Linked DNA regions of Arabidopsis thaliana. The protein of the gene in region 1 interacts with the protein of each later gene in a pairwise test. Each region holds a gene or a part of one and is shown on either strand. Other genes may lie near its edges.

The links. The genes of interacting proteins can lie anywhere in the genome.
Region 2: the proteins of RHD6 (region 1) and AT3G27420 interact in a two-hybrid assay, tested with the Arabidopsis thaliana proteins (one large-scale study listed by BioGRID).

Annotation. Positions count from the first base shown.
Region 1 is NC_003070.9:24,793,573-24,797,515, reverse strand, and holds RHD6 (ROOT HAIR DEFECTIVE6), read right to left. Parts: upstream 2,303-3,943; 5' UTR 2,191-2,302; coding exon 1,663-2,190; intron 1,562-1,662; coding exon 1,457-1,561; intron 1,372-1,456; coding exon 1,306-1,371; intron 1,226-1,305; coding exon 1,160-1,225; intron 1,050-1,159; coding exon 918-1,049; 3' UTR 501-917; downstream 1-500. UniProt on the Arabidopsis thaliana protein: Transcription factor that is specifically required for the development of root hairs. Acts with RSL1 to positively regulate root hair development. Acts downstream of genes that regulate epidermal pattern formation, such as GL2.
Region 2 is NC_003074.8:10,146,864-10,150,924, reverse strand, and holds AT3G27420 (bromodomain testis-specific protein), read right to left. Parts: upstream 2,371-4,061; 5' UTR 2,248-2,370; intron 1,991-2,247; 5' UTR 1,977-1,990; coding exon 1,722-1,976; intron 1,652-1,721; coding exon 1,547-1,651; intron 1,461-1,546; coding exon 1,374-1,460; intron 1,289-1,373; coding exon 1,230-1,288; intron 1,107-1,229; coding exon 953-1,106; intron 861-952; coding exon 786-860; 3' UTR 505-785; downstream 1-504. Other genes in the region: AT3G27415 (uncharacterized protein), read right to left, coding at 3,023-3,550; AT3G27416 (uncharacterized protein), read left to right, coding at 3,033-3,554.

The sequences.
Region 1 (3,943 bases):
TGATGTGTATCAGTGTATGGTTATCCTACAATTAATTGATAAAAAAAATATATGCTATTCATCACTGATTTTAAGATTTCTCAACTTTTGGTTGAATACTTATTTACCTACATATAAAAATGTTTATATTTTCGAAAATACATATTTTAGTGTACCAAAATTATATCATAAAATGTTTTAGCCAAGCAAACTAGGTTAACATTATGTTTTGATCATTCATACAGAGAATGTGAAAATGTTTTGCACAGAAGAACTCGTCGTCCTAGAGCAATTATAAATAAAAAAATGGTCTATTTTGGTAATAGAAATTCATAGTTTATCTTTTTTTTCAAAAAATACTATGCATTGCAATCTATATAGAGACCCTATAATATGTGTGACAAACTTTTGACGAATTTTAAATAAATAAGCATGTCGCTCAAGAGCTAGCTTTAATAAAGCCAAGCTCAAATAGACAAAGAAAGATGACAAAAAGATAGATTCTCTGAAACTGAAACCTCAAGGAAAAAACAAAAGTGAAGAATTTTATTACTCATTTCTTGGAGTTTAAATAAAAGATCTGTATTCCGTAGACTAAAACACACAAAATACAATTAAAACAGAAAAAGAAATTGAAAAACATATTTATGTTTTTAACACTTATTTACTAGTTAAAGATTCCATCCCCGTGTGGACCCATATCAGACTGATCATCGGTGAATTCAATGTCTCTTGTCTTCTCTTCGTTATAGATGCATTAAGAACTTCTCGATTTTCACATAATCTAACGTTACATAATCTCGATTGTCTTCTCTTTGGATCATATTTCAAAATTTACGTGGGATTTATAATCGAGAGAATCATTGTTTCCCCCGATATTATTACAACGTACGTAATTAATGTTTGATAAACTGATTTATTAATGATAAAACCCTTCATTAATTGGTGATCAGATTCGAATTCCTGTCTCGTTGTGATGAGGAGAGAATGGCATCAATGGCGTCTTTAACTTGAGAAATGTCAGGAGCTTTTCCTCCTTGAGCCGGCCAAAACTCATCGGTCGCTAATACCTAACAAACAATAGATTATATCAATACGTGTTACGTAATAATTCGATAAATATGGTAATTAAATCAATCCTGAAAATTAATTTGAGGGATGTTTGTCATAACTAATATACCTTAACTTGTACTTGAAGGAACTTGACATAACTAATAGCCTTTTCAAGCATTGTCACCAAATCAACCTGTGAAACATAACAAATATTATTATCATGAGAATAAGTAATATAATAAATCTGTCATAAATGGTTATATGGATGTGTACCTTGGTGCCATTGGGAACAAGTTCTTGCAATATCTTGAGACGTTCACTTATCCTTTCTCTTCGATTCTGAACAAAATAAAACATATGTAAATATGTGTTGAGAGATTGAGTTTTATTTTAATGAATGTAAATTAATGTCAAGAAAGCAAACCTTGGCTGCTAGGCTTTGTGGATCTTTAGGTGAAGTTGTTGGCTTAGGCTTGGTCTTTCCGGTCACACCGCTACTCAGTTTCTTCGACGGTTGAGTGCTCTCTCCCTATATATCCATAATTCAAATTGATAGTAGTATATATCAACGATCTTTCATTGACATCTTATATGAAAAATATTCACCAAGACTTTGTTGTTTGTAATTACCGTGTGAGAACGTTTGTTTCCAGCGGATTTAGGCGAAAGAGACTCGTTTCTAGAACCAGTGGTTACAACAGTTGAATCAGAATATAACCAGTCTTTCTGGCCTTGGGGAGTTTCGGTGGATCTAGGGCTAATAATATCCATATGATGTTGATGATTCCAGTTTGTGAAGCCGTAGCTCATGTTGTTGCCCTCCAAGAAGGAGAAGCCGCCCCCACCGCTACTACCACCACAGCTTATGGCTGGAGGAGGAAAGCTCTCGTGATGATCAAAGTTAAGAAATGATGATCCGTTGAAATCCATCAAAGAGTTGTGATGATCTTCACCGGATGGGTAAAATACAAACCCCTGATGTTGTTGATGATCTGAATTCATCGTGCTACTGCTCGAAGCCGAGCCTCCTCCTCCTCCTCCACCGGCATAAGCTGCATCTGGCTGATCCAGTCCCGGCGAGGAGAGATCTTCGGAAGAGGAGGAATTTTGTTTTGACAAGTAATTGGTCTCGTTGGGATGGTCATTAACGAGTGCCATTAGACACTAATAAGTTTGATAAGTGATTTTTTGTTTAGGGTTTTTGTGTGTCTTGTTGACGAAAAGTGGCTTTAAGGTTGTCTATTGGTAAGCAAAGAGAGACAATGTGTTTGTGTAGTTATGTTATGATAAAGGTTTATATAAGTGGTTTATGTCTAATATTTTATTTAAGCTAGTGACGTATTCTTAAGATTTTTTTTTAATTTATTGAGTTTGATTAAACTGATTAGAAAAAGAAGCTGGCATTAGATCAAATTCAATATTTTACGTCATTTTTTAAACTCTTATCAGTTTGAAGCTTCGAAGTTATGAATGCATAGAATTCTAGCTAGACATATGTTATTTTTTGTACATTTCCTTAACTGGGAATATTGGACTAGCATGCCTAAAACGTATGGTTACTAAAAATGCTTGTATTTGTTTTGTTTTTTTGTAGTCATTGTCTCCTTGTAATGTTGTTAGTAACAACTTGTTACTCTGCCTATGGACACTCATATTTCTTAGTTCTTTCAAGATAATGACATCCATTTTACTCCGATGTTCATCGACAGACACTACACAACATTTTTTTTTTTTTTTTTAATGTGATACTTGAAGATAATGACAATCACTTTTCTACTAGATGAATAGTTCTAATAAACACAACCTTACATGTTTTCTGATACTTTTTAGATCCTCTTTAAAAAGATAGCTAAAATTTTGGTATTCTAACTTTTAAATTTTACATATTTATGATACTTCCACATATTCTTTCATTTCGTACTAACTGCACTGGTTCCATTATTTGCTTCTATCCCACTATTTTCTCACAGTTAAATTTGTTCCATTTTTTTTTTTTTTGGACAAAAAATTTGTTCCATTGTTATTATTTGAAACCTTACTCTATACAATAGTTCTTAACCAAAAAAAAGTTGTATGTTTAATATATCGTAAAATCTACTACATTTTTATTTAACCAATAAAACATATTCACATTATTATTTTATTTTTAATTTTCAATTAACTGAATGGATAAATATAAATATGAAAAATGTAAATTAAGTATTAATTAATTATAAATTTCGATATTTATTGAAAATTGTAGTAAGAATACTGAGTTTTCATTAGTTCTTTTTCACTTTTAATTTGTTAAACTCAAATGAACCCAAATTAAGGTATTTTTTTTTTTAAAAAAAGAATATTGTAAAAGATTGTCTATAGACAGAATTATCTTTTATGGTATTTAATCAATTGAATCGAGTCGGTACCATATATGTTATATAAAAAATACTCCAAACATAGACCACTAATACTGGTGAGGAAAAATTATATAAGTTATTTGTATTGTATATAATTTTAGCAACTAATGTGGCACTGTAAAACCACATGATCAACAATGTAAATAATAAGAACTCATTTTAAAAAATGGCATAGAAAAAATCTTGACGTCGGGGAAAAATATGGATCGCATATCAAATACATCATTATCTTTTTGGAGTGATAAAAAAAATGAATGAACGTAAATTAAAGTGTTGTATTACAATATTTATGAGTAATTGTTGTATTACAATATTTATGAGTAATTCATCGGGATTGTTAGCTGGCAGTAAGGTGAAATTAATGGACTGAGACTTTATAACCCCAAAAATAGTTTATTAATTAAGAGAAGCGAAAAACATAGAAGCAAAATCATCGCCGTATCTTCCGCTAATCTACACGTCTTTTTGATTCCCATATATATGATCGATTCTAATATATATCAATTCTTTCGATG
Region 2 (4,061 bases), on another chromosome or scaffold:
GGAGATTCACATTCTCAATTTATACTAATATATTAATAAAATAGTCAAGTCAACCAAAGAATATTGGTTTTAGAACAAAATTACCAAAAGTTTAACATATATCAATCTTAATTCTTAAATATAACTTTTTTGTTGATAATCAAATTATTATATTAATATCAAGCAGCTAGTTCAAACTTCCCCCATTAGTAAAGCTCTAGAAATATTTCATAGCTTTTTATTGACTGTCATAAAATAATTATTCAGATTTTATTTCCAAATAAAATAAAATAAAAATATCTTTTTTTTTCATGTTACGATTTTTTTTTTCGTTTTACTTTGAAATCAAAATTTGTTTTTGTTTGATTTATTTAAAAGTCTTGAATACCGTTTTAATGATTTTTTGTGCTTAGGTAAAACATCTTATAGGACGAGAAATATTTTCCCTATCTTAGTTTCTAACCGAAACTGATACAATGACAGACGATTAAAACAAAAATAATGAAATTGATACACACTATCTAAAGAGATTAATCGTCTAACAGACACATTAGCAAACTATGTGTTTTCTTTGGATTCATGTCATGATGTGGTCAATGATTTTTTGTTAGAGAAATCTTCATGGGACGAAGGACAAAGTCTTACCAAATCAGAACCGATTTTCATTTGTTAACCGTCCATGTAAGACCAACTACTACACGGCTTAACCGGACTAATCAGGAAAACAAAAAAAGTAGGAAATATATTAAACCGGTTTAGCCCATCACACCATCTCAACATCCCAGTCCATATATATACAGCCAAAGTTAGCTAGGGAGCGAGCTTCTGGGCCTCTTGACTGCTCCTACATAGAAATGCAATCTCCATAACATGACCTTGTCCTGAAGAAAACACAGTTTGGTTGAAATGCTGTTAGTTTTCCATTAATACTCATCGGAACCAGAGAATCAATTAACTACGGATTGTGTCTTACCGCCTGATCAAGGTTGACGATAACCTTATCGTTGAAATCTCTGCCAGATGCTATGCAATGATTTCCTACTATTTCAGCGACGCGGTTGAGATTCCTCTCAGGCAGCTCCTTGATCGATTTCTGAAGCTCCCGAATTTCACCACGAGTCATAGGTCTGTTTTAAAAGAGTTAACAACTAACACATAAGTAACCACCAACAAAGAATGTTCTCATAAGGAAAACTCTTTAACTGATTATATAATGGCACAAACTAGAGATCAATTAGACCACACTATACCTGCAAGTCGCCACCACATCGTCAAGAAGTCTCTCGAGTTCCTGCTGCATATTGTCCAGCTTTCAAAACAAAACATATGCAGAAGTTAGCTATATTAGATGATTGATCTTTCTGCAAGCTAGATATACTAATGTGGAACATTACTTTGGACAGCAGAACATTTGAATACTGTGACGTTATGTTCTTGACCATATCAGAGTCAGACCTCAGAAGTAGTTGAATATCATCTTCCTGAAGGAATTTTGAGAAAACAAAATGAAAGATATACAAGTATGTTTCAAGCAAGAGGATTAAGAACATATAAGTAAAAGACGAACTCTCGCTCCTCCGGTTTCTTCAGGAACAAAATCGCTCGGCGACGATGACTGACATTTGTTCCCTAGCTGAGAAATTAGATACAGAGAGCGTACACATTCCTGCATCTGCAAACGAATTGCAATAATATTGAGTACTCTTTCATCATACGATATTAGAAGTAGAACTCTGAAGTACCTCATCAACTTCTGGACTTAGATTCCTCACACACTGCCTTAACAAAACATTCAAATTATCTTTCTCAACATTTGACATCCCAGCTCCTATAACACTCTCAGAATGCCTCTCATTGGCTTCTTGTTGATCATGATGTGAGATCCTCTCACCTAGAGACAAAAGCTCAGCTACTTGAGATCTGTAACTACCAAAAGTATCTCCTCTGCTTCTTTGGATTTCAGATGATGGACACGCTTCTGCTGTTCTTTTAGGCATAGCTTCAATAAACACTGCAATGTACGCAACAACGCCTTAATCGATAAAAGCAGACAATTTCACGAGATAGAGTACTATACAAACTAGGATTATGAATTTGAGAGTGTGAAATCGAATTGCATATCAAAATAGAGAAAAATAGCGAAGAACCAATCAAGTATCGGTTTCTCTACAGTGATACGACGATCGGGGAAAAGCAAATTCCGTTTATATCCCGAAATAATGAACAATTCAAGGAAGTTCAAAAAAACTATGTAGCCGCGAAACTCACCGAGTAAACTGTCTCGCCGGAGATTAATGTCGCTGGGAACTGCCGCCGATTTGAATCGACGGATAGAAGCCGAAAAGGGTTAAAAAGTGATAACGACAAAAAAGTAGACTGCTTGCCGTTTTTATGTTAGCCATTATGGAACACGTGCGTCGTGGATTACAAAGCTTATGAGTATTATCATGGGCCTTACATTTTAAATGGGCCTTATTTATTTTGGGCTCAGTTTACTTTCTCATCTCTAATTAGACTCATTCACAAGATTGCAGTAGATTTATTTATTTTTAGTTTACGAAATGTAAATGTTTCGTTGACTTTTAAATGTGCTTCTTCAGTTACGTGTATGAATTTGTATTGAACAATTGAACTTCCACTTAATATTGAGTTATTGACTAACTGGTACGTTAATCAAGTTTTAATTCTTAGTATTTTGTATAGCTTAAATTAAAATTAACTTTTGTTGAAACAGTGCTCATTTAGTTACCACAAAATCAATCTCAATAGTCACGTGTTCTCAATTGTTTCTTGAAAGTTGGGAATTATCATTACCACATGTTCTCTTTTTACTAACAAAAGATCAAACCAATAAAATTTTAAGACAAGTTCCGATGGACCCGGTCAACCAAAACTTTGGTCAAATCTGTAGAATTCCCTATAAATTAAATTTTACCTCTTCCTTAATCTCTCAAAAATAACTCTTTTCTTCTTTTTAATCTTTTTTAGCACTAATCATAAACCACAAAAATACATAATTAATCACCACAAAAGCAATTCACATTCACCACAAAATGACAATGACACTTAAACTCCTATCTCTCGCCGTGGCTGCCTTGGCCATCACCGCCGTCTTGGCCGCCGATCCTCCAACACCGGCAAACGCACCGAAAGCCAACGGCGAAAAGAACTCTACCTCTCCTTCTCCCGCCGCCGCAGCATCCCCAAAATCACCCACGGCCTCCGCCCCAACCTCACCGCCTACAGCTGCTCCAACCATGGCCAAGAAAAATTCCACCGGAACTCCAAGCCCTTCCCCATCTTCCCCATCTCCAAAGTCATCATCAGCCAAAACTCCGGCTTCAAGCCCTGACTCAAGCTCCGGTGATTCTTCCGAAGGTCCTACCAGCTCCTCTGACGCACCTACCGCCTCCTCTCCGCCAGCTCCGACTCCAGAAATGTCTCCATCTTCCGATGACGGAACTGGCGCCAGTGACGGCCCTGAAGCTTCGGCTCCTGCGGCAGGAGCCTCATCGCTTGTGATCTCTGTCTCGGGCTCTGTTCTCGCAGCCGTTGCATGGCTTTTCTTCATATGATTGAATATTACTAGTATTTTCTTGGAGATTTCATACTACATTTAAGATTATATTATACGTTTCATATTTCAATTTTTGGGTTTATTTTAAAACAGTTTGTTCTCCGGCCCGATTTTTCACACGTTAAATTCGTGCATAGTACGGAGGTTAGGATATTTGATGTTGTTACAAATGTTTAGTTTGTGTTATTTATGTTTATGTAATCTTTAGTCATTATAACAATAACCATGAGATTCTCATTGTTCGAAGGGTCTATTTGTAATTTAATCACATTCATTTTCTAATGATCCTTGCATGGCTAGTATCTATATGTATATAGCATCTCCTTAAGGACAACAATGGGGAGCAACACATATATTAGGTATAGCGTTACAAATTATAGTCTAAATCAACAACAACAAGAAGAGAACCATAATATCAACAATGGGGAGTTCTATTCAATTTTTATTTTTTTGATGAATTCTCTCTCACTTATTTCAAAAAAATATTTCTAAACTCATTATAATT